6 linked regions of the Oryctolagus cuniculus genome follow. The main gene of each other region encodes a partner of the protein of the gene in region 4 in a complex. Links are inferred from orthologs where the notes say so. Each region holds a gene or a part of one and is shown on either strand. Other genes may lie near its edges. The genes, in order: TMEM107, TCTN1, MKS1, AHI1, TMEM231 and B9D2.

Evidence for each region.
Region 1: AHI1 (region 4) and TMEM107 share a complex: the UniProt entries of both Homo sapiens proteins name them as parts of the tectonic-like complex. The link is inferred for Oryctolagus cuniculus from reciprocal best matches to the Homo sapiens genes AHI1 and TMEM107.
Region 2: AHI1 (region 4) and TCTN1 share a complex: the UniProt entries of both Homo sapiens proteins name them as parts of the tectonic-like complex. The link is inferred for Oryctolagus cuniculus from reciprocal best matches to the Homo sapiens genes AHI1 and TCTN1.
Region 3: AHI1 (region 4) and MKS1 share a complex: the UniProt entries of both Homo sapiens proteins name them as parts of the tectonic-like complex. The link is inferred for Oryctolagus cuniculus from reciprocal best matches to the Homo sapiens genes AHI1 and MKS1.
Region 5: AHI1 (region 4) and TMEM231 share a complex: the UniProt entries of both Homo sapiens proteins name them as parts of the tectonic-like complex. The link is inferred for Oryctolagus cuniculus from reciprocal best matches to the Homo sapiens genes AHI1 and TMEM231.
Region 6: AHI1 (region 4) and B9D2 share a complex: the UniProt entries of both Homo sapiens proteins name them as parts of the tectonic-like complex. The link is inferred for Oryctolagus cuniculus from reciprocal best matches to the Homo sapiens genes AHI1 and B9D2.

The regions. Positions count from the first base shown.
Region 1 is NC_091448.1:52,666,576-52,671,753, forward strand, and holds the start of TMEM107 (transmembrane protein 107), read right to left. Parts: upstream 3,455-5,178; 5' UTR 3,230-3,454; intron 3,009-3,229; 5' UTR 1,635-3,008; coding exon 1,548-1,634; intron 1,433-1,547; coding exon 1,370-1,432; coding exon of another isoform or gene 1,365-1,369; intron 1,274-1,364; coding exon 1,173-1,273; intron 604-1,172; coding exon 499-603; intron 287-498; coding exon 217-286; 3' UTR 1-216. UniProt on the Homo sapiens protein: Plays a role in cilia formation and embryonic patterning. Requires for normal Sonic hedgehog (Shh) signaling in the neural tube and acts in combination with GLI2 and GLI3 to pattern ventral and intermediate neuronal cell types.
Region 2 is NC_091452.1:8,297,379-8,301,770, forward strand, and holds part of TCTN1 (tectonic-1), read left to right. Parts: intron 1-159; coding exon 160-297; intron 298-749; coding exon 750-875; intron 876-1,262; coding exon 1,263-1,348; intron 1,349-1,844; coding exon 1,845-1,985; intron 1,986-3,207; coding exon 3,208-3,370; intron 3,371-4,392. UniProt on the Homo sapiens protein: Component of the tectonic-like complex, a complex localized at the transition zone of primary cilia and acting as a barrier that prevents diffusion of transmembrane proteins between the cilia and plasma membranes.
Region 3 is NC_091448.1:33,639,723-33,644,114, forward strand, and holds part of MKS1 (tectonic-like complex member MKS1), read right to left. Parts: intron 4,281-4,392; coding exon 4,125-4,280; intron 2,802-4,124; coding exon 2,704-2,801; intron 2,542-2,703; coding exon 2,413-2,541; intron 2,202-2,412; coding exon 2,097-2,201; intron 1,157-2,096; coding exon 1,048-1,156; intron 557-1,047; coding exon 500-556; intron 1-499. UniProt on the Homo sapiens protein: Component of the tectonic-like complex, a complex localized at the transition zone of primary cilia and acting as a barrier that prevents diffusion of transmembrane proteins between the cilia and plasma membranes.
Region 4 is NC_091436.1:33,406,256-33,411,179, reverse strand, and holds the start of AHI1 (jouberin), read right to left. Parts: upstream 3,028-4,924; 5' UTR 2,889-3,027; intron 2,629-2,888; 5' UTR 2,567-2,628; intron 1-2,566. UniProt on the Homo sapiens protein: Involved in vesicle trafficking and required for ciliogenesis, formation of primary non-motile cilium, and recruitment of RAB8A to the basal body of primary cilium.
Region 5 is NC_091449.1:57,934,158-57,939,084, reverse strand, and holds the start of TMEM231 (transmembrane protein 231), read left to right. Parts: upstream 1-1,485; 5' UTR 1,486-1,588; coding exon 1,589-1,727; intron 1,728-1,820; coding exon 1,821-1,990; intron 1,991-4,927. UniProt on the Homo sapiens protein: Transmembrane component of the tectonic-like complex, a complex localized at the transition zone of primary cilia and acting as a barrier that prevents diffusion of transmembrane proteins between the cilia and plasma membranes.
Region 6 is NC_091449.1:13,272,582-13,276,343, forward strand, and holds part of B9D2 (B9 domain-containing protein 2), read left to right. Parts: intron 1-1,190; coding exon 1,191-1,316; intron 1,317-3,762. UniProt on the Homo sapiens protein: Component of the tectonic-like complex, a complex localized at the transition zone of primary cilia and acting as a barrier that prevents diffusion of transmembrane proteins between the cilia and plasma membranes.

The sequences.
Region 1 (5,178 bases), on a different chromosome or scaffold from region 4:
TCAACTGTTCCCTGAAAATTGTATAAATTTTGATCTTATTATAAAATAGATTTTATTTATTACAAAGCACTGACTAAAACGCTATCCCAGACAATTATCCCAACACCGACATCCTCCACCAGAAGCAGTTTCCGGGGCGCGGCGACGCTGTCCTGCCAGGAACGGGAGCTTCTGGCTCCCCCAGCCCTGTTCTCCACGTTCTTGCAGTGAGGATGATCAGAAGGGTTTCTTTTTCAGCCCAAAGACGGCGATGAATAATGCCACTTCAGTGACAGCTGGGAGGGCGCTGTGGAAGGCAGGTGGTGGGGTCAGGCCCCCTTCCAACATAAATACCCGAATCTCCAAACCAGACATCCCAGCCCCGAAGTGTAGAGGGTGGGATTGGAGGGGGGACTTCAAAGGACCACAGGATGTGGTCTTGGTGTCTCAAACATTCAGGGAAGAGCTGGATGGGGCGAGCCTTCCTCCCCACCCCCCAAGACTGGGTGCTAACCGCACCTGCAGAACACAAAAATGTACCAGTACGTGGTGCACTCCCAGCGCTCGAATATGAAGAACGACAGGGCTACAGATGCACTACAGTGCGCTGCGATGGCTTGTGGGCGACACACAGGAGTCAAGGAAAGTCTTGGGGCCACAACAGCGACGGGCTATGGCAGGCCAGTGGTGGAGCTCCCAGGCCTTGTGCGACGGCGGGAGTCAGCAGCCCTGCCTTCTGATTTTAACAGGCCCACGTGTAGCGGCCTGCGCTGAGCCTGCACTGCCGAGACCCCAGGCTACCCTCACCCCACATGGAGGGGCCAGCCTGCACCCCCGAGGGGAGGTCAGAGCAGGCCCCCATGGACCCCACAGGAATGCGGACAGCGACTTGATCCTCTCTGCTGGAATCACTCTCCACCAGGAGGCCCGCAACTGGAGAGTCAAGCGCCTCCCTCAATCCTTGGCTCTTTTACCCCCTCCTAGAGGATAGTGGGGTGTGTGTGTGTGTGTGTGTGTGTCTGCCTCCGCCTCACCCCCATTTACCTCCAGGGCCCGGTGCACAGCGGCATCCACAACTGTTTGAGGATTGTGTCAAATCCCTGCACTGCCTAAGCAGAGGCGGGGCTCCTGGGGGGAAGGGGGTCGCTGAAGGGAGTCGCGCTGGAAACGGGTCGTGGGGGCAGAAAGGATACAGATGAGGCTCTGGGTGCTGTTGAACATGGACACTCCTGAGAGGAAGCCGGCCAGCTCCACGGCAAAGAGGCCCAGGGTGACCGAGAGGGCGGCCACCAGCCTGCAGAGAGGAAGGGGAGCGGCTCAGGACCCCCGGCCTCCGGGACTCCCACCGCCTCTTCCTTCGAACCCCCACCCCCCCAAGAGCTCACTGCACGTCCTGCTTCTCATACTCCTCGGGGGTGAATCGGAGGGGCAGGCAGGCCTGGACGTTGCTGTCCTGGGGAGCGGGCAGAAAAGGAAAGGAAGTGAGAGAGGCCGGCTGAGACCCCGGGCGGGGTGGGCGCGGCGACCACGGCGAGATGGCGACGCGGAGTGGCGGCCGTGGGTCTTACCCGCGACCAGAATAAGGTGATGACGACCACCAGATGCGCCAGCAGCGTCAGGAAGCGGGAGGGCACGAGCCCCGAGATCCGGCTCATGCTCCTCAGGGCCGCGGGCGGCGGCGCTGGGAAACCTCTCCCGGCCCGCGGCCTTCGCGCGCCTCAGGGGCCGCCCCGTTGCCTTGGTAACTGCGTACGCGGACCGTGCGCCTCGGGTTCTGAAGATCTCGCGAGAGCCGTAAATTCTCGAGCCGCCGTCGTGCAAGTGCGCCGTGTTCGGGGACCCCGCTGCGGCCGCCAGCCTCCTAACCGGAGGACTACGTCCGGGGGTTCGCTGGCTGCTCAGGTCCGGAGCGGCGCGGCCCCAGGCTGCATTGCCGGGAATGGCCTGTCCGCGGAGGAGGTGCTCGCGGACTGCTGCGGCCGGCGTGCCGGTCTTAGGTTGGAGGCTCAGACGCGGTCTTCCCTTTCCGTCCTCGTAGCTTCCTTGTGCCCTGAGCCCAACGTGGAACGTTCACTGGACCTACCTTGTCCGGCAGGCCCGTTGTCACGGAGCCCTTGGTGGTCGGAGCACCCCAGACATCTTTGCCGGGTTCGGTGAGGGATTTGCATAGTGCAGAAGATGGTGGCAGCCTCAGCCTAGGGACGGCCCCGCCGGGACTGGACAGGGCGAGCGTGGACGAAGCGTCCCGCACAGGAGGTTTGGAGCTGCCTGGGACGCAAGGCTCAGCTCTGGTTCCGGGGTCTCCGAGGTACCGGCCGCACGGGCTCCAGGAAGACCCCTGCTGCTTGCGCACACCCAAGGGGCTTCCCTCCCCGCTTCTGAGGAGAGTAACCCCAGCCTTCAAGTCAGCCTGCACTGCAAAGCCTAGTGGTAGGCAGCCCAAAAGGAGGTGGAGCGTGGTCGCGGCAGGCCTTGCAGCCACCAGGCGCGACGTGGTCAGATTCGTATTCTCCACGACCCAGGTTGCAATATGGAGAGACTAACGAGGAAGCCATAGAAGTATCCAGAAAGGACAGGGTGAAGCAAAGACGATGGAGCAAAGCAGAAGGATTGGGGAGAGGGTCTGGCTCGGGGCCTGTGGGTGGGTGAGGAAAAGGGAGAGTCAAGGTGACCCAAGGATTTTGCGTTCAACAGCTGGAGGTTTGGAGCATTCTGCTCAGTAGGCGTTCTGCCTAGGAGACGGGCTAGACAGTACAAACCGAGTTCTCAGGTCCTTAGGTGTGGACTCATGAACAGGGAGTGGGCAGCCTATGTCTGCTTTGTCCTTGTCCACAACCTTGGTTTATAGAAACTTGCCTCAGAGAAAGTCGTTTCTTGCCTGGGTTTTAGAGCCTGCTGGTGGCCATGGGCTGTGCTGCGGGTGACCAGCTGTCCTCCCGTAGGTGGCCACTCACTCCAGGGCTGGATTCGGTATCTCAGCATTTGAATTGGTGACAAAAGAACTTGCAAACTTTTCATTTTTTGGCATCCTAGGAAATTTCAAACACAACGTAAAAATGAAACAGTATAACAAACCCCTGGGAGGGCCACTGCTCTGCCTCAACAGTTGTCAGCACGTGGTCAGCTTTGTTGCCCCCTCCCCTCCACCACAACCCCACACGTGTGCATTGGGGTACAAATAAAGTCCACTTGGCTGACATGTCTGAAATCTCTGTTAATCTTGGGTTTGCCCTCCTCCCCATCACCTCACCTTCCTTCTTTTCTTGCTGAAGATACTGGGCCACGTGTGGCGTCATTTCATTCTCTCCTGGCACTGTGTTTCCTGCAAACTGATGGTCAGGTCTAATGGTTGATCTATGTGTCATTCAGTTTTCTGGTAAGATCACATCCCGAGGGATGGTTTGTACTTTCTGTTCACCTCATCAGGAATCCTGCTTGTCTGTGTGTCTGTCTGTCTGTGGTGCTGAAGTCTGAGTGGTGGCTTCGGGTGCGGTCAGGCTGAGCCACCCGTGATAAAATTCTTCATCCATTCTCACCTAATGGTACCACGGGTCCTCATTGCCTAACTGCATGATTTCAATAGCGATTGCAAAATGGGGATGGCCTAATTCGAGCCCTCTTCTGCATCTACCAGCTAGAATTCTTTTATCAGTAAGAATTTTCCATGAGATACGAGTCATACAGGAAAGGCAGGATAAATGGGTCCTTTTTTTTTTTTTCCATTATTTGCCAGTTTTCAGAATCCCGGTTCAGTAGTGTCCTACAAACACAACTAGATCTTTTTAGTAGCATGGTGACCACATAGATTTTAACATCTTTTGTGTATTTCAATCTACCTTTTTTTTTTTTTATAACTAAAGAACATTTATTTTCCACTAAGAGTTTGCCTTGAGGATGTAACTAAACTGAGCCACCCCCCACCCCATCTCTAAGGGTTAGTACAGTGACTGTTATAAAGCAGATCTCAACAGTCTGAAGCTCTGGAACCAACATTAACTGACAAAAAAATTCCATCTAAATCCTCATAAAAATGTTTAAGTAAAAAAAAAAAAAAAGGGAAGAAAAAGAAAAGAAAAAAGGGGCAATGGGGGTTTCAGATTGAACAACATTCTCACACTTCATCTGATACATTCAATCTGGCTAGAGTGTACCAAGTGGAAACAGGATCACTATAATACAAAACTCCCACTACAGCACGCTGTACACACCTGTGTTCCAAGCCCACCCCCATCCCCCTACTGCTTCCACTCCATTATTTTCCCGCCTGTTGGGCCTGCCGGCGGAGGAGCACATAGATCTTCTCTTTGATCCAGTCTTTGTTATAAGGCTGGTATGTCTGGGTATCAGCCCGGTAAACAAGGCAGCTGAGGTCTGCCAGATCATCAATAAAATCAAACAACTGACTGATATCGTATGTGATAGACGGACTGTTGGGATTCATTCTTTTCAGATGTTCCTCATACATTTTACAAATACCTTCCATGCATTCATTCACAGATTCATAGTCAGCATAAGTTCTGCCTTCTGGCCTCTTGGTAGGCTGTACCAGCAAAATGGTATGAGACATCGCGCCAAACTCTTCTCTTTGCAGCCGCTGCCGACACCGCCGCCGCACACGAGCTTCTCATTCTACCTTTTTTTAAAAGATGCATTTATTTTATTTGAAAAGTGGAGTTACAGAGAGGAAGAGGCAGAGAAAGATCTTGCATCCACTCGTTAACTCCCCCAGATGGCCACAACAGCCAGGGCTGGGCCAGGCCGAAACCAGGAGCCGGGAACTCCATCCAGGTGTCCCTTGTGGGTGATGGGTCCAAGCACTTGGGCCATCTTCCGCTGCTTTCCCAGGTGCATTAGCAAGGAGCTGGATTAGAAGTGGAGTCAGGACTTGAACTGGCGCCCATATGGTTTGCCAGTGCTGCAGGCTGGGCCTTTAACCCACTGTGCCACAGAGCTGGCCCTTTAACTTCTTCTTCTTCTTCTTTTTTTTTTTGTTTGTTTGTTTGTTTAATTGGATTGTTTGTCTTTTCACTGTTGAGTTACAAGTGTTCTTCATGTATTATGATTTCTATACCTTTATGAGATACACGAAAGTATGCCAAACCAGTTTATGCAAATTGCATAGTAAAACAAACTATCCCTGGATTCCATTTTTTTTGTATCAAAGTATCTTTTAGTTCCATTTTCCATGAACTTTTGGAT
Region 2 (4,392 bases), on a different chromosome or scaffold from region 4:
CTGAATATATATAAGTGTGTGTATTTGTACAAAGTGGACTCAGAGTGTGCACACTGTTCTTTAGCAGGCTTGTCTCTGTGGAGGCTTGGTTCAAGTTTTATTACTTTAACTCATTCCCCTGTGTTGTAGAGAATCTTTCAAGTCCACATCTTTGCTCAGCAGGTCCCTATCACGATCCAGTCCATTGTCATCCAGTCTCTAAACAAAACACTCACCCGACTAGCAGCCCCAGAGGTGCTGCCACCGTCTCTGATCACTGCTGGGCATGCCACAGTCTGCACGAACGTCGTCCTTGAGGTAGGTGCCCAGTCTGGCTTCGGAAGCTCCATCTGTCTGGCAGAGTCCTCTGCAGGTAACGGAATGCCGGGACACCTGCAAAGAGGTCTGGTTCCTCCCGCAGTGTTGCTTCTCCTGGCCTCCTGTGCGCCATCACACTTGTCTCCAAGGGACAAGTACACTTGCAGGAATGCATCAGGACATTGTTGTCTTTGGTTTAACGCATGTCCCCTGTGGAGCTGGGTTAATTCTGCACGGACCAGGTGGTTTGGAACTTAGTTACAGAAGCTGGGCACACAGGGGCTTTGGTGCCCCCCCCCCCCCCCCGGCTGGGGAGACGCGGAGGGAACCTCTCTCGCATTCCTCAGTGAAAAGCTGCAGCTAGTGGTGAGGCGGAAAGGCTTTGCTGCTCCGCGTACAGCAGCTGAGCTGTCGTGGGAACAGGTGTGTTTGCAGTCTGATTTTGTTTGTAGGTAAAGTACCGGCTCACGTACACAGACGCCGGTGAAGTCACAGACGCCGATCTCTTTCTCCTCCTGGGGACAGTCAGCAGTGCGGTGGCTCCACTGCAGCAAAAGTTCGAGATCGACTTCATTCAGGTAAGGCGGGTCATTTTGTACAAGTCTAATTGCCGAGTTAAGAAGTCATGCGTTCTTCCTGAGAAAAACTCAATTTAGCAGTATCACCCCATCTCACCCTCTGCACTGAACAAAAGGTTTGCGTGTGGCAGGTGGAGTTGGTAATGGAACCGGGGTAGTCTTTGTGCCGTTCCCACTTGGAAATGCGATTGCTTTCCACGCTAGCTTGTTCTTTTACAGCCTGGGGCACTCCCACACCAGTAGTATATTTATAATTCTGAGTAGGGGGAGACATTCTTTTATTGGCAGGAGATTCCAGATTTTGTGGGGAGAAGCATCTCATTTTCTTCCTGCTGTTCCCTCATTGAAATGGGAATTCTTGGGGGGCACTTCTGCCTTGTTTTTCAGCACAGCACGAAGCCGGTTCCTCTCAGTGGCAACCCTGGTTACGTTGTGGGGCTCCCGTTAGTTGCTGGATTTCAGCCTCAGAAGGGATATCCTTTGTGGTTCTGTAGAGAAGGTTGGCTCCCTGCCAGCCTGCTTCCAGGGAGGAGAGACCAGTGTCGGCCAGAGCACGCTCCCGGAGGCTCTGGCGGGGGTGGGACTGGCTGCAGAGCCATCGGGGTGAGACGGCATGGGTGGGGAAAATGTCAGTGTTTGGAAACAAAAATCTTAAGACAGAAAAGTTGACATTCATTTAGTTGGGTTTAATTAATTAAAATAATTAATTTTAATACTTAAACAGAATCTCCTGCACGGATGTAGTCATTTTGAAAATTTGGAATTAATGTTGAAGAGCCAATTTTCTGAAGCCTTTTTTCCTGAGGATTTATGAATCAAGGAAGATGGCTAGAACTTAGAATCCCAGGGGTCCAGGGAGGTTGGCTTTGGGTCTCACTCGTGTCTCACATCACAGAGGTGATGCCATCTCCTGACCTGAGATTCGGGCTGCTCTAGCACTAGGCGGCTATGCCTTAACTGTCGGCGAATATCTGGAATCATCCAGACCACAAATAGGTACGGACAACTTACCATTCTTCGTAGCACAACTGAGCAAGACTGCTTAGCCCTGGAGGGCGTCCGAGCCCCGGTGTTGTTTGGTCACGACATGCAGTCTGGCTGTAAACTGAGGTAAGGAGCCACTGTGCCTGTCCAGGTGTGTGTATGCCAACCACAAGGAGAGCCTTCCAGCCTGTCCACTTTAGTCCAGCCTCTGCCTCGGCTGCTGAGCTCCTGAACGCTGGCCTTGCTGATGGGTGGTGGCAGAACTGTGCAGGTGTGGCAGATGAGCATGGCAAGCCTGCATGCTTCCTGTTGACTTCCAGCCACGACGTTGCCCCCGGAAGTCCTACTCAAGGACACTTCAGAAGGCTTATGGAGAAATCGAATGAAAAGATAAGTTTATTTTGGTGCAAAAAATGTGAAATTCATGTGTAATTTTTTCAACATAATGCATTTCCTGTGAACTTTTTGAAGAGTCTTCATATGTATGGATTTCAAACTTTTTTTTTGGCACCAAAGTAAACTTTTAATTTCATTTTCCATGAACTTTTTGGAGTGCCTTCTTATTTCTGAATTTTGATATTTGCATGCACAGCATGAGGAAACCAGTGAGAGGAACCCCAAATGTGATCCATGTGTTTTTATTGTCATTTTGTCTACTGTGTATATACTGTAAAATGTCATATAGCTCTGGGTGGCTCATTATAAAGCCAGCAGTTCAAACCTCAGAGACTACCATTCCAACTTATGTAGCCGAGTTTCTTTGGGAATCCAACCCCAATCTTGAAATAACCACTTCTTGATATTTTTTTTTTAATTTTTTTTCCTTGGTGGATTTCCACTATGGAAGAAGATTTGGCTCTTGCCACATACTTTCCACTTCTCCCCAGGTTAATACTATCATGATTTTGGCTAGAGCAGTCTAACATTTGCATTTTTAGTTTTGATCTCTTTAGGCCAGCATTCCGTGGAATACGTTTCTACAAGATGTCAGCAGGCATGGTCTGTAGTCCAGTATGTTTGGGGACACCAAATCAAAGTGAAAACCACAGCTGCTTCCTCTGGGAAGGCTTAGAGCCGTAGAAGCTGTGTGCTTCAAGGAGAGACGGGGTCTCCTAAACTTTTGGCTGTGGAACCATTCTAGTAGTTTCGGGAACCCAGTTTGAGAAACATCTGGACTCATCTCCTTGGCTAAGATTTCACGAAGTTTGAGCCACCTTGGCTTCTGCCAAAGAGTCCCCCTTTTGCAGAGCTAAGAGCGAAGCTGAGGGGCATGGCTGCCGTTGAGGCCCCTAGCAGCAGCTTCTAGGGGACAGCGGCCCTCTTTGTTGACCTCTTTTCTCTTCCCTAGACTGACCAGAGCCCTCCCATGTCGGCTCTTGGCGCCAATAGTGAAGAGCCTGCTGGTGGGCCAGGGCTTTCCAGATTACGTGGCTCCCTTTGGAAATACCCGTGCCCAGGATGTGCTGGACTGGGTGCCCGTCCACTTTGTCACCCAGTCATCCAACATGAAGGTAAAGGGGGGCCGGCGCCGCAGCTCACTAGGCTAATCCTCCGCCTAGCGGCGCCGGCACACTGGGTTCTAGTCTCGGTTGGGGCGCCGGATTCTGTCCCGGTTGCCCCTCTTCCAGGCCAGCTCTCTGCTGTGGCCAGGGAGTGCAGTGGAGGATGGCCCAAGTGCTTGGGCCTTGCACCCCATGGGAGACCAGGAAAAGCACCTGGCTCCTGGCTCCTGCCATCGGATCAGCGCGGTGCGCCGGCCGCAGCGCGCCGGCCGCGGCGGCCATTGGAGGGTGAACCAACGGCAAAGGAAGACCTTTCTCTCTGTCTCTCTCTCTCACTGTCCACTCTGCCTGTCAAAAAAAAAATTTAAAAAAAAAAGGGGGGGGGCAGTTGAAGGCCACAGGCCGGTAGTCTCTCCCTCTCCTGGGCCGGGTGGTGGGGCCCCGCAGGGAGTGAGGTGGGCAAGTCTGGGTAGGAGCCTGGGTGCTGTGAGCAGACTGGCCTGGATCTGTAATACTGAGTTTGCCGCATGAGCAGTGTTGCCTGTGGCCAGCAGTTTGGAGGTCGGAACCTCTTTCCTGTGCAGTGGGAATGACAGTCACAGTACAGACCTGGCCCTTGTCGGGAGGGGGAGCTCGTTTGGTCCCTGGCACAGCAGCTAGTGTTCCTTTCCTAAATGGGGCTGCTGCTGGCCATCCTGGTGGTACGGGTCGGCCATTCCTAACCTGGACTTTGAGTGCTGATGTAATGCCACAAGTGAGAAATCCCACACCTTGTGATGGGCTGCAGGTGCAGGGCAGGTGTTTGGCCTAGCAGGTAAGATGCTGGTTAGGATTCCTATAGTCTGTATTAGAGCGCCTGGGTTCAAGTCCCGTGTATGGCTCCCGATGCTAGCTTCCTCCTGATCCAGACCCTGGGAGGCAGCAGGCGATGGCCTAAGTGACTGAGCCCTGCCATCACGGGGGAGCCTAGCTGGAGTTCTAGGCTTCTGACGGGCCTGGCCCGGCTTTACCTATTGTGGGTATTTGGAGAG
Region 3 (4,392 bases), on a different chromosome or scaffold from region 4:
GGTGGAAGATCAATCAATCTCTCTCATGCTCTGTTTCTCTTTTCCAAATATGCAACATAAATAAATAAATTTCTTTAAAAAAGAGTCAAAATATCTCCCTTCTCTATAAGCTAACTCAGGAAAATACTCACATTAAAGTTGAGGAAGACATTTTTATCTGTATATTTGTTTTTGAAATTAAAGTATCACATGAATGCATTACCACTGAGTAAAAACTCAAAATTGCCCAAGTTTAGGGAATAAAAAGTGGAAGTCACCCACGCCCATGCACTACCTGGCAGGCCACCCTCCCCAGAGAAAGCCTCCGCGGAGGGCCTTTCCGGTGCACCAACATGGCTACACCAGCACAAGCACTGTGGCCCGCGTGCTCTTCTGCGACACCCGTTCTACTCTGAAGACTCTGTCCTGGAGACTTTCCAAGAGGCACAATTCCTCACTGACAGTCAGAACGCTCCGGCCGCACACGGCCCACCGAGCTGCAGGAGGCCCAGCTACTCACCATCTCAAAGTCGGTGCCCACGAGGCTGCTCAGGTACTCCTTGTGCCGGCCGTAAAGCTGAGGAGCCAAACCACACCAAACCGAACCTCAGGATGCGGCCCCAGCCAGACCAGGGTTCAGTTCTGGACGGGCAGGAGAAAAGCAGCAATAGCAGGAGTGGCAACTGAGGACTGGAGGCCTTCGCATCCCAGCACCGACAGAGGCTCTGGAGCCAGCTGGTCTGGGACAAACCCTGGCTCTCATACTTGCAAGTTCGCTGGCCTTGGGCAGATCCTTAGCTCTGCAGTCTCGGTTACTCACTTACAAAAAATGGTAACTATAAAGGTGTTCACCTCAGCTGGTCTGCTGTGAGCCCTCATTGAAAAATGGGATATGAAGTGCCTGGGGAATGCTCAAAGACAGCCACTGGGACGGCTGCTACGTCACAGGACGCCCCCAAGGGTCCGCGGTGACAGCACAGCAGAGCTGCCTGGGGGCACATGGGCCACGAAGGGCGCAGCCCACCCCCCACCCCCCGACGTCGGCACCAGCAGTGAAGTAGCTCTTACATCCTTGAAGACACGCTGTTCCCGCTCCTCCTCTTCCGGCTGTGCGAGGGAAGACACGTTGTCGATTGTGTACTTCCACAGCTCCTGCTTCTCCCCCTCTGTCTCGATTCTGTGAGGTCAAAACCACAAAAGGACCCACTCTGATGGTAAGAGAGGAGGCCCTCCAGACAGGCCGTCCCTGGCCACACGTCTCACTTGACGCACGTATGATGGAAACGGCCATTAATGACAGTCTGGAGAGGGAAACCAAGTGGCAAAGCAGAAAGGACCACAGACGAGGGAATTTCAGGCCCATTTCGGCCTCCAAGTCACAGTGCAGCCCAAAGGCACAACCCTGGCTCCCAGTTCTCTCACCTAAAAGGTGGAGAGATTGGTCCAGACATCTTTTTTTTTTTTTTTTTTTTTTTTTTTGACAGGCAGAGTTAGTGAGAGAGAGAGAGACAGAGAGAAAGGTCTTCCTTTGCCATTGGTTCACCCCCCAAGTGGCCGCTACGGCCGGTGTGCTGTGCCGATCCGAAGCCAGGAGCCAGGTGCTTCTCCTGGTCTCCCATGGGGTGCAGGGCCCAAGCACTTGGGCCATCCTCCACTGCCTTCCCAGGCCACAGCAGAGAGCTGGCCTGGAAGAGGGGCAACCGGGACAGAATCTGGTGCCCCGACTGGGACTAGAACCCAGGGTGCCAGTGCCGCAGGCTGAGGATTAGCCAAGTGGGCCGCGGCGCCGGCCCAGACAACTTCTAACGTAACAACTATTACCTACGACAGCCCAGAGGAAGAGAGCTGGCTGCATTCACCTGCCCTGCTCCGGTCCCTACACTCCGCAGCGTGCAGGAGCGTCTTCACGTCAGCAACCACCCTGCTGGAGGGGTGGCTTTCAAAGTGGTGCAGCTGCACACGAAGTGCCAGGGACCGGAACAAAGTATGAGCTGCTGCCTGGGGACTGCAAAGCTGGCGCACATGCAGAGTTTCTGAGAACGTCGGGGATCAGGAGCAGGAAGAGAAGCCAAAGGCAGGAACGCCAGTTGCCACTGCCCCTCCCTTCCTCTCCTCACCTGTAGGGTCCTTTGAGGCCAGTGAAGTCCGGCTTCACTGTGATCACGCCATTGCTGTCCACCTTCAGAGTACACAGGACGTGTTCATGCTTCTTATAGCCAAGCCTAGGAACCAGGAAGTCAACACCAAGTCACCGGTCCCCTCCAGGAAAAGAGGCACAGGTCGTCGGCCTGCTCCGGGGAAGAGGACGAGGCTTCTTCTACTAAGAAGACAAAGCCCTTCCCTCCCGAGAGCCAGAAGACTGTGCCAGGAAGCCGATGGTCCGCGACAAGGGATGAGGCGGGTGGGGGCTGGGCAGTGAGCCGCTGCACTCACTTGCCGTAGGGCCCCAGGTCGGCCATGATGTACATCGTCTGAAGAGGGGTGTTAATGACGTGGTTGTTCTGGACGAAGTCTTCCGAGGGCTCCCAGGTGACAATGCGTGACTTGAGGATGCCGCCCTCCCTGGGAGACACCGTCGGAAGGGTCACTTCCCCAGCACCCCCTGCAGAGCCTGACAGGGGAACCCAGGGAAGCACACTGGGCAGCCCGAGTCACCGGACACACTGTGCACAGTGGCACGGAAGGACCACCCAGCACCCTTTGTCCCCGGGTGCTTGCACTCACGTCCCTCGCCTGTCCTGCCGCCGCCGCCTGACGTTTGCCATTCGTTCGACCAAGAATGACGGCACCTCGCTGGCCGCAGTGGTCATCTTCTGACAGTGCTGGGGAAAGAGAGCAACCCCGTGGAAGCCAGCTGGTCAGGGCCACAGGGGCCCGAGTGTCTGCGTGCTCATCTTCCTTGTGAAACCTCTTCAGGAGCCTGAACCTGGGTATAACCACCTCACAATTACACGCGTCAATGGGGGAGTGTGGCACAAACAATCCAGAGAGGACTCCTGCCGTGTCTCGGTCTGCCCTAGAATTGAAGAATTCCTTTAATTTTTTATTTATTTGACAGGGAGGGAGAGCTCCCATCCACTGGTTCACTCTCCAAACACCCACAGTGGCTGGACTGGGAGCCAGGAATTCCATCCAGGTCTCCCACGTGGGCAGCAGGAACCCAGTTACTCGAGTCTTAGGGTGCACGACAGCAGGAAGCTGGAGTCAGGAGCACGACTTGGGTATCGAACCCAGGCTCTCTGATATGGAGAATGGACATCCGAATCACTAAACCAAATGCCCATTCCCTTCCCCCCGAATTCTAGAAATGAGCTGTTTATTCTGATTTAAAGTCGGTCTGCATTCGTTGAGCACCTACAAACAAAAAGCTGGGTCAGTCTGCCCAGTAGATGTTGAAGTTAACCAGGTTGCTGGAAAACACCAAATGGGATACAGACATTCTGTGGAAAATCCTGACGTGGGTCACTGAGCTCTACCTGCATTTTTATTTGCTTTGCCAAAACAGACAACCTGAATATTATATGCTACCAACCCACATCTCTCTTAACAGAAGCCTTCCAACCTTGCAAAACACTCATTTAACACCTGCCCCTTGCAGAGCTGCAGGGTTAGAGACTGAAACCACAGAATGTAGGCTGCACCCTCCCGGAGTTGAAAGATCTCACTGAGAAGCTAGAGCTTATGCAGTGACAGAAGAAAACAGAACAAGTCCACAAGGGTATGGCAGAGGCAGCTGCAGGAGACCACATTCCCCTCGCGGCTCTCTGAAGCCTCTTCAAACACGTACACTCAGAGCTGTGGCTGAGGTCCCTGTAGAATTTTATCTAGATTGTCCCAGATTCCACCCACGATGCCTGGAGGCAGTCAAGGGGTTGCTTCTGTGGGTTTGCACCCTGCAAGTCTGGCCTCCGAGACGCTGCACGCCCCTCCTGGCCCTCCAGCAGGCGGAGACGGGAGCAGCAGCCACACCACCTGCACTCTGCCCACTCTGCCTCAGCTTGGCTGCCAGCAGCTCACGGCAGTTTCCAGACAGCCTATGGATCTCCTCCCTTGCCAGGCTTCCGATTTAGCACCCAGAACCCAGTGAAGCCAAAAAGCCAGGGGAGGCAAAGAAGGAAGCTACAGGGCCTTGGGAAGAACAATACCTCCTCCAAATTGGTGTAGCGGTCAGAGTCGGTGTAGGTAAAGATTCGTCGGTTCTTCCTGCCCCCCGACTGCTCCAGCTTCAGGATCTCTTGCCGGTACTGGTAATCCAAAGGGCTCTGACAGGCTGCTTCATTCTGGTACAGATCTACTTCAAACTGAGGTCGCCACAAGGAAACAGACATCCGAGATACCTCAAAATTCTGATCCTAGAACTACTACCAAATCAGTCCTAGAGAGCTGATATTATCTGACATAGCTCCATAATTA
Region 4 (4,924 bases):
GACAGCAATATTACTGGCTGTATTATAGCGCAGTGTGGTAAACTGGCTGAAACCTAAGTTCTAGAATTAGTCTCCATGGTTACTTGTATGCCTGTGGACCATGGATCTCCTAAACCTTAAAACCAGCCTGCCTATTCAAAGGGTTGTTAAAAGGACTAAATGATTTAAACAGTACTTTAGAACAAGGACCAACAAATATGAGCTACAATTTTAACAGGAACTTCCTAAGGGGATTGTGTGGGGCAGTTTGAGCTGTGTATCTGAAGGACACCAAGTAGCTACAAACATCAATTCCACCGTCAGGTCCTTGGTTCAAATTCCAGCTCCATTTGACAAGGACCTCAATTTCCTCATCTTTCAAAAGAGAATAATAATATCATTCACTGGGTTTTTGTAAAGATTAAATGAGTATATGCAAGGAAAACTGTTGGCACAAAGCCTACTGCATGGTACATGCTTCAAGAGAGAGCTGCTTTACTACTGTGTGATATATACATATATATGAGAGAGAACACAAAGGACATATAATCATATTATGTTTGGGAGGCAAAATAATATATTAATCCATTAATCCAGCAGGAGACCTAGGCTGATGGTTTGGGAATAATTTATAGATATTTGTACAATGGTTGCAAGAAAATAAAAAGCCAAAGATTGAATTCTAGAACGAGGAGGTAGGTGAAACACAGGGACAGAAAAGTATCACAGAAGGAAAGAGTTTTCAGAAAGGTCTATGCTGTGTGGTGTCTACAGTTGCTGCACACTTTGGGAGTGCCCGCTGGATCTGTAATCATGAAGTCACGTGTGCCAAAGCTGTTTATGGAGGGGCAGCAGCTGGGAGCCACAGGTTGAGGAATGAAAGGCAAGACCTGCGGTAAAGGTACGCAGGCAATTCTTTCTAGAATTTTGCTTCCAACTGTCTTCTTCCCACTCGAGATGCAATAGTATGAGGCAGTAGCTTTCAGGGGTGAAAAGACTGTTAGGATTTTGATGTCTGCTTGAGACTGTTTTCAGGCTTCTCATGACCACCCTCCCCTCCACCCCTCTGCACTGCATTCAGGATCATTTTCTAAAACACAAAGGTGATGGTGGTGTGTGATTGCTTTAAAATTCCTCACCAGTTCCCAATCGACTGGTGGAAAGCACTGGCAAGTCCTTACCACTGAGAAGACGACTATTAATGACTGGATCCTTTGCCATTCCTCACAGCCCCTTCACCGCCACACCTTCACACAGCTTCTGGGCTCCAGCCACGTGAAACTACTTGCAGGGCCTGACCAACGCCAAACTCTCTCCTGCCTTTGTAGCAGGTCACATACCCACTTCTCTCCTGAGAAAAGCCTGCCCTGCTTTGACACTCTGACACTAAATGCAAATGGCACCTTCCCTGGGGAGCACCTTCCCCCAAAGCACAGCTGGATCTTCCAACTTCCCTTTTCACCCTGGCACAAATGGTTCTAAACTGGCTGCTCCCTCTATCCCGCAACCCCCTCCCCCAACTACTGGCTTTTGGAAGAACAAGCCTGCACTATCTTTATATAAGTATCTCCATTTTTAAAAGGCAGCAATTATGGCTCCAGATAGGAAAAACTCAGGCTTGAGCTCCTGTCATGCTACTTCATGTGGCCTTGGGTAAGCCAGTTTCATTAAGCCTTGGTTTCTTCCTTGTCTAGGAAACTAAAGTGGCCCCTATTTTAATCATAAGGAGAAAAAGAAATATCAGAAAACAACATAATCAGTAAACTGCAGGTGCTCGATGTCTACAATTATTTTAAAAATAATTACACAATACACAATTAAGTAAATTTTGTATTTACATTTACTATCATTTAATATTTTAATGACCACTGAAATAAGAGATACTATTTAATAACAGAACATTACAAGTCATCATCTCTAAATGTTATTTAGTATGTACAGCAAACACATTAGAAGAATTAATGATTAATATTTGATTAGTAACAGCTTCAAAATTTAAAGTCTGACTTGGAAACATATTCCCAAATCTCATATACCCCGTGATGTTAACATTTCTCCCTCACAAACCCTTTCACAAAAGCTTCTAAGAGATACTGCGTAGCAAAATTTAGCCGAGATTACGTTTCGTCTTTCTCCCTGACCACCTGATCAGCAGCCAATATGTGACTACAGATCAAGGGGGAGGGAGAAGCAGACAGGCTCGCAGAATTCACTCCGGCTCCAAACCTGTACCAAGGAGGAACAGAAATCAGAACCCTTAGTAAATCAACAATCGCCTTCATAAAGATCCTAAATGCGGTTTCAGACACCTGTGGCATCTGCAATTCTTCCAAAGAGACTTTTAAACACGTCCCGGAATCCTCCTAACTGGCGCTCTTGCTCGCAATAACAGCGAGCGTAAACGCAACAGGTGAAGGAACTGTTAGCATCTCTCTCTCCAAAGAAGAGCAAGCCCTGTCTCCACTTTCCCGGTTAAGGCTGACACGCCGCGCTGACACTCGGGAAGGCTCTCATCCCCTTTCTGTGTTTATCAAAACGCCTCTAACAGAATTTGACTCTTTTCTTAGAAACGTAACGTATCCGTCACCTTTTCTGGGTGTCATTAAGAAGGCACTTCACAGGTTCAACATTCAGCGCCAGGTTGACACTCTATAAGGAAATAAACACGCTTATTACGCATCTGAGCCAGAATCCGGGCTGGGAGAGGCAGCATCGGAACAGCACGCCGGACGCTCCGACGCCGGAGAAGTCGCCCCCTTCCCGGGCCGCGCTGGGCCGCTCTGGGCCGCTCGGCCTGCGGAGGCGCAGAGGGAGCCCCCAACGCCGCCACCCCTCCAGAGGGGCCGGGGTAGGTAGGCCGAACACCCGGGTCCGGGCTCCCGCCACCAGCGCACCCACACGATACTCACCCAGAGCGCAGAGCCGCGTCTCCCGCACAAGCCTACACCCCGGGCGGCGCGAAGCGGCTCCCAGCCCCAAGCAGGGAGGGCGAGGAGCCTACGCAGCCTCGGGAGCCGCCAGCAACACCGGCTCTGAGAGCGGGCTCGGTGCCGCAGTGCGGGCAGCGCGCCGCCGGTGACGTCAGCGCCGGCCTACGCCGCCGTTCCCATGACAACCAATGCGGCCCGGCTCCAGGCCTGGACGGGGGCCCTGCGGGAGCGCCCTTCCCGCGGCCCCGCCCCCAGGCTCTCTCCGCCTCCGCCGCGGGCCCGGAGTTGCTGCAGTGCCTGTCTGCCCGCGCCCCTCAGCCTGCCGCCGGGCGCGCGCCCCGGGGCCGCGCCTCCGCGGTTCTAGAAGGGGCAGGAATCTCATCCCCAGGCCAGCAGAGGGGAGGCGGGAATGCGCGGGTGCCGCCTCAGAGCCGCCGGAGCTTGGCCTCCGTCCGGAAAAAAGCAAGCGCGGGAAAAAGTGGGGCAAAAGCAGGCGGGGAGGCGGTCTTGGAAGCCGCCCAAGATAGGAACCTTGAATGAATGAAGCGAGGAAGCCAAGAAACAGACTTGTCGCACCCCACGTGGTCGCCCCCACAAAGTGAAACGCGCGTTGAGAGCGTGGAGAATGAGGAGTTGTACTCCAGAGTCTTCGGGAAAACTTATCCACGATTTGTCTGGCGCTGAGTTGCCTTGAAAGTAGAACAGAAATTAAAACGTCATCTTTCTACACCTGATGACCCCCTCCCACCTTGCAGATTTCTGCCACAGGCGCCATCTTTGGTTCTGAGTCACCAGGGATGGAAAAACACCAGACGCCTTACTCGTCCACGCTTAGTGAGAGGCCGTTTTCTGCAGTTGGCAGCCACGCACCAGAAACCTGTTGCCTCATTTGTAGGGCCAGAGAGTTTGTGTATTTCTCTGGTTGCCAGCTTCTCCATTCTCACTGGCATCACTGCATCTTATAAATGATGGCAAGTGTTTCTCCAGAACCTCTGAGGAGGCGATGAGAAAGAAATATTACCAAACTGTGCTACTTTTCCCTCCAAAACTGGCTGGAAGAATTTTGTGTATCCTGTAAGAAAAGAATTTCAGGTGGGAGACAGTAGCGGTAAGCAAGCTAGCCAAGTTTCACGAGGTAGTTCATCCGAGATGGTGGGCAGCTCGGCTCGCCAAAGAAACCAAGTGCATTGCCTACATGCAGACTGGGGTTACTGTGAGTTAGGGGTCCCTTTCTGCTGTGTCGCCTTCCCGCTCCCTTTTTGGGGAGTGGGCGAGGGGGCAGATATTGCTGGGCAAATGGTTTTTTGGGGGTGAAGTTCGTGAAATTCCTCGCAAGGTTTTATTGCCAGATTTAAGAGCCACCTTGGCAAAGGGCCAGGAAGAGTGTCCTGAGAGATCTCCGGAGGGAAGGCTGGCAACCCCTACAAGGTTGTCAGATATGGATAGGACTTTCTGGAAACACTGGGTGCCTTCCAAGGCTTGCTTCTAAGGCTGCTCCCTTCCTTTCCACATGTACTTCTTGTTTGGGCCCTTTCCCATAGGCTAATGTCTACCTTCCTATCCAGCAAACCTACTCCTGGCTTTTTATGTTGCTTTAATCTCTTCAGCCTGCCATCATCCTCCCAGTGTTTGAGTAAGATGCCTGTAGGCACCTTCTTACACCAATGTGCATTCTGTCTTTCTGCCAATCCCAGTGTATGGTCCAGCCAGCTCAACCCGAACTGCTAATGCCAGCCTTCCACCCTTCCCATTGGAATTTTTGACATGGCCTCCTTTACCAATCCTCTGACTCCAGTATTGACTCTTAATCTCCACTTTCCATGCCGCTACCAGAATGACCTCACTAAAAGTGTAAGTTCGGTAATGACATTGCTTTGCTGAAAATTCTTCAAAAACCATCAGTAGATCGAATGACTTTGCCTGATATACAAAACATTCTGTTTTCCTTACTAGTTTCACATCTCATTACCTCCTGGTTTCAATTTTATGCAATACTGCATTATGTATATCATGCA
Region 5 (4,927 bases), on a different chromosome or scaffold from region 4:
GCAGAGTTACAGAAAGGTAGAAGCAGAAAGAGAGAGAGGTCCTCCATCCACAGGTCCACTCCCCAGATGGCTACAACGGCCAGAGCTGCCTCAGTGTGAAGCCAGGAGCCTCCTCCGGGTCTCCTATGTGGGTGCAGGGGCCCAAGGACCTGGGCCATCCTCCAGTGCCTTCCCAGGCCATAGCAGAGAGCTGGAACCGAAGCAGACAGTCAGAAATCGAACTGGCACCCATATGGGGTGCTGGCCCTGCAGGCGGTGGCTTTACCCACTACACCACAGCACCGGCCCCCACACTGACTCCTGATCCTGCAACTGGAGTCTTCAGGGCCTTTGGATGGAGAACTTGGCTGTGGACCATTGGTTTTATTATTTATTTTTCTTTTTTTTTGTTGTTTGCTTACTTTTTTTTTTCTTTTCCTTTCTTTTGGATCATAGGTTTTAAAAATCCTTCCACCCTGTTCAAAATACTGGCTTGGCAGAGAAGGCGGTGGGCAATCAATTAGCAATAAACCAATGTTATCTTTGGGAAGTACGACTTAACCCACTGGGGCAGCACTGTGGTGCAGCGGGTTAAGCCACCATCTGCAGGGCCAGCATCCCTTGTGGGTGCCAACTGAGTCCTGGCTGCTCCACTTCCAATCCACTTTCCACCTGGGAGAGCAGCAGAGGAGGGGCCAAGTGCTTGGGCCCCTGCACCCCAGTGGGAGACCCAGTTGAAGCTCCTGGCTCCTGTTTTTGGCCTGGCCCAGTCCTGGCTGCTGCGGCCATTTGGGGAGTGAACCAGCGGATGGACGATCTCTCTCCCCTTCTCCCTGTAACTCTTTCAAATAAATTATTAAACCTTAAAAAAAAAAAAAAAAGGCTTAACCCACTGCACAACACGTCCCAGAGGGGAGTGCCAAGTCCCAGCTGGTCGGCTTCCACTCCAGCTTCCTGCTCGGGCATCCTGGGAGGCAGATGATGATGGCCCAGATATTCAGGCCCCTGCCCTTAAGTGGGAAACCCAGAGGGAGTTCCTGGCTCCTCGGGCCATTTGGGGGAGCGAACCAGCAGTTGAAAGATCTCTGCCTCCCTCTGTCACTCTTTCAAATAAATATTTTTAAAAAGAAATGTATCTTGTTTAGTAGCTCCCTCTGAAACCGGCAGCCGAACCTGCACCCAATACAGGTAACAATGTACGTAGTAATGACCCTGCCCGCCCCAGAGCCGAGGGTTTGGGTCCTGTGCGCTGTCCTGCTTCCGGAGCCACAGAACACAGAGGCGGAGCAACCCGGCCTTGGCCTTCGTCCAGGACCAGGTCGAGGAGCGAGGCCACGCGTGTGCGACCTGCGGGCATCAGCGTGGACCACTCAGCCGTCCTCAGCCGTCCCGAAGCAAAACACGCAACGCCCCCCTCTCGGTGGCCCGTCCACTGGCTGACCACGCCCCTCTCCAGGTAGCTCCGCCCCTTCTAGAGGCCCGCGCCGCTACTATTGGTCCTCCTCCCGGCGCCGCCGGTTGCCGTGGAGACCACGACGATGGCAGCCGGGAACAGCCAAACTTGGTCGTCCCTTCTCGGTTTGCGTAGGGGTCTCGGCGTGCGCCGTCCATGGCGCTGTACCAGCTCTACTCCCACCCGGCCGAGCGCGGCTACCGCGCGGGGCTCTGCTCCAAGGCAGCGCTGTTCCTGCTCCTGGCCGCCGCGCTCACCTACATCCCGCCGCTGCTGGTGGCCTTCCGGAGCCACGGTGAGCTTGCTAGGCCGGTGCGCGCCACCGCCTCCGCTCGGGACGGCCTGCCTGACCTGTCCCCCTCTCCCTCTCACGCCCTTCTTCTCTCAGGGTTTTGGCTGAAGCGGAGCAGCTACGAGGAGCAGCCGACCGTGCGCTTCCAACACCAGGTACTGCTCGTGGCCCTGCTGGGACCGGAGCGCGACGGCTTCCTGGCCTGGAGCACCTTCCCCGCCTTCAACCGGCTGCAGGGGGATCGCCTGCGCGTCCCGCTCGTCTCGGTGCGTGGCTCCCGCCTGGAATTCCGCTTCCCCCAGACGCCCAGGTACCCGGGCAGCGCTGCGTGCTGACCCGGGCCGGGCACGGTGCGCGCTCGGGGTCCCGCGGTGTCGCCGCGTTCACGCGGCGCGGCGGAAGCTGGGGGTCGGGGGCGGGCGTCTCCGGGCAGGACTGACCCTCGGAGACCGGGCGCCCCGCACCTGTTCCCCGGCAGGGCCCCGGCGGAGGGAGCCTGCCCCACGTGATCTCAGAGGCTGCTCCAGCGTGCATCTGTCCGGGGTAAAATTGAGACTTTTTCTTTAAGAGGGCCGAAACTTCTAGTTTTCCTTCTTCCACGTCCTTGAGGTGAGTGGCCTACAAGACAAACTCGTGTAAAAAATGTTCCCAGCAAAAAGATGATAGGTCGTATGAATAACTAGAAAGTTTGTTACAGATAGTTTTTCTCTGGTTACTTCTGAAATTTATTGGCTTTTTTTTTTTTTTAAGATTTATTATGTATTTGAAAATGAGAGTTGCACAGAGAAAGGAGAGGCAAAGCGAGAGAGAGAGAGGTCTTCCTGATGGTTCACTCCCCAGTTGGCCGCAACGGCCAGAGCTGCACCGATCCAAAGCCAGGAGCCAGGAGGTTCTTCCAGGTCTCCCAAGTGGGTGCAGGGGCCCAAGCACTTGGACCATCTTCTACTGCTTTCCCAGGCCACAGCAGAGAGCTGGATCGGAAGTGGAGCAGCCGAGTCTCAAACCTGCACCCATAAGGGATACCGGTGCTTCAGGCCAGGGCGTTAACCCGCTGCGCCACAGTGCCAGCCCCTATTGACTTATTTTAATTAGGAAAGTACCCAGTTTCCCACGTCGGTGTCAGGGGCCCAGGTACTTGGGCCGTCTTCTGCTGCTTTCCCAGGAACAGTGGCAGGAAGCAGGATTGGAAGTGGAGCCGCCAAGACTTGAACCGGTGCCCATAGGGGATGCTGGCGCTGCAGGCAGAGGTCAAACCCACTGTGCCACAGCACTAGCCCCAGGTTTTTTCTCCACATGTTTATATTCCTCTCTATCATGTGCTTCTGGTCATTTGAGTCTAAGAAATACCATGCAGGCTTGAGATAATTGTGAAGACAAGGATAAACCATTAAGTTTCATTCATTCATTGTTTTTACGGGTTCGTGCAACACAGCTGCTGTTGGCCTCTTAGCTCTGCAACCAGAAACCAACCACTCCCTTCAGTGCACCGCCCTGGTCCCCCCTTGCATCTGGCGTGCAGTTCCAATTTTAATGAGAAGCCAAAACTAACTCTTAATGTTTATGGTACCCATACCATGAGATCACTTTCATACTGGGTAATTTTGGGGCTGGCACTGTGGTACAGCGGGTTAAAGCCCTGGCATTCCATATGGTCACTGGTTCGAATCCTGGCTGCCCCACTTCCGATCCAGCTCCCTGCTAATGTGCCTGGGAAAGCAGTGGAGGATGGCCCGGTGCTTGCGGCCCTGTATCCATGTGGGAGACCTGGAATAAGCTTCTGGTTCCTGGCTTCAGCATGTCCGAGCCCTGGCCATCGTGCCATTTGGGGAGTGTACCACCGAATGGAATTTTTTTTTTTTTTTTTTTTTTTGACAGGCAGAGTGGACAGTGAGAGAGAGAGACAGAGAGAAAGGTCTTCCTTTGCCGTTGGTTCACCCTCCAATGGCCGCCGCGGCCGGCGCGCTGCGGCCGGCACACCGCGCTGATCCGATGGCAGGAGCCAGGAGCCAGGTGCTTCTCCTGGTCTCCCATGGGGTGCAGGGCCCAAGCACCTGGGCCATCCTCCACTGCACTCCCTGGCCACAGCAGAGGGCTGGCCTGGAAGAGGGGCAACCGGGACAGAATCCGGCGCCCCGACCGGGACTAGAACCCGGTGTGCCGGCGCCGCTAGGCGGAGGATTAGCCTAGTGAGCCGCGGCGCCGGCCTCGAATGGAATATTTTCTTCCCCTACCCCCTACAGCCAGTGCGCCACAATGCTAGCCCTGGTTCTTAATTCTTTTTTTTTTTTTTTTTTTTAGATTTATTTATTTATTTGAAAGTCAGAGTTACACAGAGAGAAAAGGAAAGGCAGAGAGAGAGAGAGGTCTTCCATCGCTGGTTCCTTCCTCAATTGGGCACGACAGTGAGAGCTGCACCAGTCCAAAGCCAGGAGCCAGGAGCTTCTGCCAGGTCTGCCACACAGGTGCAGGGGCCCAAGGACTTGGGCCATCTTCTACTGCTTTCCCAGGCCACCGCAGAGAGCTGGATTGGAAGTGGAGCAACTGGGACTCGAACCAGCACCTGGGATGCCGACCCTGCAGACGGTAGCTTTACCTGCTATGCCGCAGCACTGGCCCCTAGACTCTCAACCTTTGTTACAGCAAAATACTTTTATTTTCTGACTCTGAACATAAAGCCCGACTGGCTTCAAGCTGTCTGCGAAACTGTCTAGGAAGCTACAGAAACAGCGGTCCTCAGTCAAGGTTGAACCAAGTGCGGGGAGGCATCTTGGTGACTGCTAATTTGGGAAAATGCCTCGGAAGTCACAAACAGCCTGGGTTCTGCTTTGGTCAGCTCACCTTGGACAGCATCTCTAAAGTCCCCCCCTTCTCTTTGATTAATATTATTTTATAAGATACCTTTTTTTTTTTTTTTTTTTTTTTTTTTTTTTTTGACAGGCAGAGTGGATAGTGAGAGAGAGAGACAGAGAGAAAGGTCTTCTTTTTTTTTTTCGCCGTTGGTTCACCCTCCAATGGCCGCCACGGCTGGCGTGCTTCGGCCGGCGCACCGCACTGATCCAATGGCAGGAGCCAGGTGCTTCTCATGGTCTCCCATGGGGTGCAGGGCCCAAGCACTTGGGCCATCCTCCACTACACTCCCGGGCCACAGCAGAGAGCTGGCCTGGAAGAGGGGCAACCGGGACAGAATCTGGCCCCCGGACCGG
Region 6 (3,762 bases), on a different chromosome or scaffold from region 4:
TCCCAAAAAATATGTATCGACCACCTTCTGTATACCACGCACTGGGGATCCCGCCATGTGCATGGGCCAAGCTCTCCTGAAGCTCATTCTACGAGCGTCAGACACTATATAAGCCGCTGAAGAAACTTAACTCAGTGATTTCCAGTGGCGACAGTGCTGGGGAGAGAGAGAGGCAATGGCTATAGAGGGCGGGTGTTTAGCTCGGGGTTAGGACCTGCACATCCCGCCGCACACCTGGCTGCTGGCTTAGCTCCCTGCTAATGCCAGCCCTGGCAGGCAGCAGGGATGGCCTAAGTGACTGGGTTCCTCCCGCTTACGTAGGAGACATGGGTTGTGTTCCCAGCTCCCAGCTTCAGGGTGGCCCGGTCCCGGCTGTTCCAGGCGTTTCAGGGAGTAAACCTGTGCGTGGGAGCTCTCTGTTTATCGCTCTACCTCTCAAATACTAGATACAAATATTTTTAAAAGGAAAAGAAATGGGTGCTGGGATAGTTTTGGATAGGACAGTCAGAGAGAGCCGCAATGAAAAGGAGGCGCCTCAGCTGAGCCCAGAAGATGAGCAAAAAGCCGGGAATGGGGCCTTCTGGGAGCAGAACTTTCCAAACAGGGAAGTCAGTGCAAAGGCCCTGAGGTAGGGGGACAGACATACAGAAATGGGACCAGTGAGGCCCACGGGTGGTGTGGGAGGGGACTGTGCGGGCAGTGAGTTCAGAAAGGGGGGCAGGTGCCAGGCCATGCGGTGCCCTGTGGGCCACGCAGGAGAGTCTGCCGTGGGGGAGGTAGGAGTCCTGCCGGGCAGCAGAAGGCACTGCCCAAGCACTTAGCCCAGTGTATCCCTTGGTGCATTTTCCCACGGTTATCTGGCCCCACAAGAGGGACTGGGTGCCCATGAGTCCATCTCAGTCCTCGGGGACCCCCAGGGGGGAGAGATGGTAGTAAAGTGAGATTGAACTGGCACCCACACTCACAGACTTCTGAGGAATGTGTCTTGTTTGCCCCTTTCACAGATGGGGAGATTGAGGCAGAGAATGGTAACTTGCCCCGGGTTGTACAAGTAGGAAGAGGTAGTGGCAGGATTTGAAGGTCAACATTTGCTCCAGAGTCCACACTTTGTAACCCCTACCCACAAACGCCAGGGAGAAGCCACAATGGCATCTCCTGCCCACTTGTCTCTGTCCTGGCTCTCACCACAGGGGCAGCATGGAAGCTCCTGTCAGGTGTGCGGGAGGGCCAAACGCAGGTGGACACCCCCCAGGTAGGGGACATGGCCTACTGGTCCCACCCCATCGACCTGCACTTCGCCACCAAAGGTCTCCAAGGTAGGTTCCAGGCCTTAGCCCGGGGTGTGCTGAGGGGAGGCGGCCAGTAGCCCCAAAGCTGCTGGGACTGGAACAAGCCTTGTGGGTCCCTTTCCTAGCCACGCCTGGCCCTGCAGAGGCTGAGCTGACCCTCCCCAGGCCGGCTCTGTTGGGGACCCCAGGCTGGGGGCCTGAGGTGGAGGCCAGGGAAGGTGGGTTCCCAGGAACAGGGAAGCAGCCTTCCTTAAAGAGAGAAACCAGGTCTTCAATAAGGGGGAAGCTGGGAGGGCCTCTGTGAATTAGAGACAGGGAGGCCAGGGCTGGCCGCTGTGCTTCAGCAAGGCTCCTCCCTTGAACGAGTGCTGCTCACGGGGAAACCAGCAGAGTGGAGGAGAGGAGTGGCATCAGAAAACCTGGTGGAAAGTGCGGGCCACAGGGTGGGCACCTGGCTCTGAGGTTTGGGTGCTGCTTGGGATACCTGCACCCCACATCCAGTCGTGGGTTTGAGTGCCAGTGCTACTTCTTTTTTTCTTTTCTTTCTTTTTTTTTTTTTTTTTAAGATTTATTTATTTAAAAGGCAGAGTTACAGAGAGGCAGAGGAAGAGAGAGAGAGAGAGAGGTCTTCCATCCACTGGTTCACTCCCCAGATGGCCACAACAGCCAGAGCTGCACCGATCCAAAGCCAGGAGCCAGGAGCTTCTTCCAGGTCTCCCACTCGGGTGCAAGGGCCCAAGCACTTGGGCCATCTTCCACTGCTTTCCCAGGCCACAGCAGAGAGCTGGATCGGAAGTGGTGCAGGACTCAACCAGCGCCCATATGGGATACTGGCACTGCAGGCAGCGGCTTTACCCACTGTGCCACTGCGCCAGCCCCCAGCTCTACTTCTGGTCCAGCTTCCTGCTGGTGTGCACCCTGGAGAGCACCAGGTAATGGCCACTCGCATGGGAGACCCCTATTGAGATCCAAGCTCCTGGTTTTGTTCTGGCCCAGCCCACGCTGTTGCTGGCATCTGAGGAGTGAACCCTTGGGTGGGCGATCCCTCTCTGTGTTTCCTTCTCTGTGTCAGGGGCCCTGGAGTGTGCCATTCCAGCACTATGTAACCGGCATCTCCTGAGAGCCCGCTCTGTGCCTGTTGCTGTCCTCAGACGGCTGACCATGCCATGTGGGTGGCACAGCCCAGGGTGGGCAAGGCAACCTGCAACCTCCTCCCACAGGAGGAGCCCCACCTTGTCAGTGCGATCAGAGAGGGCTTCCTGGAGGGGACATTGCAACTTTGCCGTGAAAAGCTGGTAGGCGCTAATAAGGCAGCAGGATGTAAGAGGGCTGGGTGTGGAAGGCTCAAAGGGCATTTTGTGGACTAAGGGAGAGTGAGAGGGTGGCGGGGTGGGGGTGGGGGGCGCGGGTGACAGCCCCAGGAGCTGAGGCACGTTTTACGTTTAAAGGATCTTTTTGGGGCTGGCATTTAACCTAGCAGCTAAGACGCCGGCATTCCATACAGCGCCGGGGCTTGATACCAGCTCCAGTTCCCGGCTCCGACTTCCTGCTAAGGCGCACTCTGGGAGGCTAGCAGGAGAGGCCCAGACTGCGTTCCCAGCCTTCTGTCCAGCCTAGGCAAGGCCCAGTCTGAGCCATTTTGTGGGCACTGGGGAGTGAAGGATGAGAGCACTCTGTGTGGTATCTTTGCTCAATAGTAAAGATTTTTTTTTTTTTTTTTTTTTTTGGACAGGCAGAGTTAGTGAGAGAGAGAGAGAGAGAGAAAGGTCTTCCTTCCATTGGTTCACCCCCCAAATGGCCACTATGGCTAGTGCGCCGATCCGAAGGCAGGAGCCAGGTGCTTCTCATGATCTCCCATGGGGTGCAGGGCCCAAGCACTTGGGCCATCCTCCACTGCCCTCCCGGGCCACAGCAGAGCAACCGGGACAGAATCCGGCGCCCCAACCGGGACTAGAACCCTGGGTGCCGGCGCCGCAGATGGAGGATTAGCCAAGTGAGCCATGGCACCGGCTGGTAGTAAAGACATTTAAAAAGGAGAGGGGGGGGGGGGGAGGGGAGAGCGCCTCCTGGCTGCCATGTGGGTGATGGAGGGTAAGGCAGGCAGCTGTCCTTTCAACTCTTTGGCTTCCAGTCCCCGGTGCTGGCATCATCTTTGTTTTCTTTCTTTTCAAAAAATATTTATTTTATTTGAAAGGCAGAGCAACAGAGAAGAGAAAGAGAAAGAGATCTTTCCTCTGCTGGTTCACTCCTCAAATGGCCCAACAGCCCAGGCTGGGCCAGCCAGAGGAGCCAGTAGCCCAGAACTCCCTCTGGGTCTCCCACGGGGGTGGCAGCACTTGGACCACTCTCGCTGTTTCCCCTGGCACAGGAGCCAGGCGCTGGATCAGACATGGAGTAGCTGAGACTTGAACTGGCACTCTTACATAGGATGCTCACATCCCAGGCGGTGGCTTAACCTGTCTGCCCCGGTGCC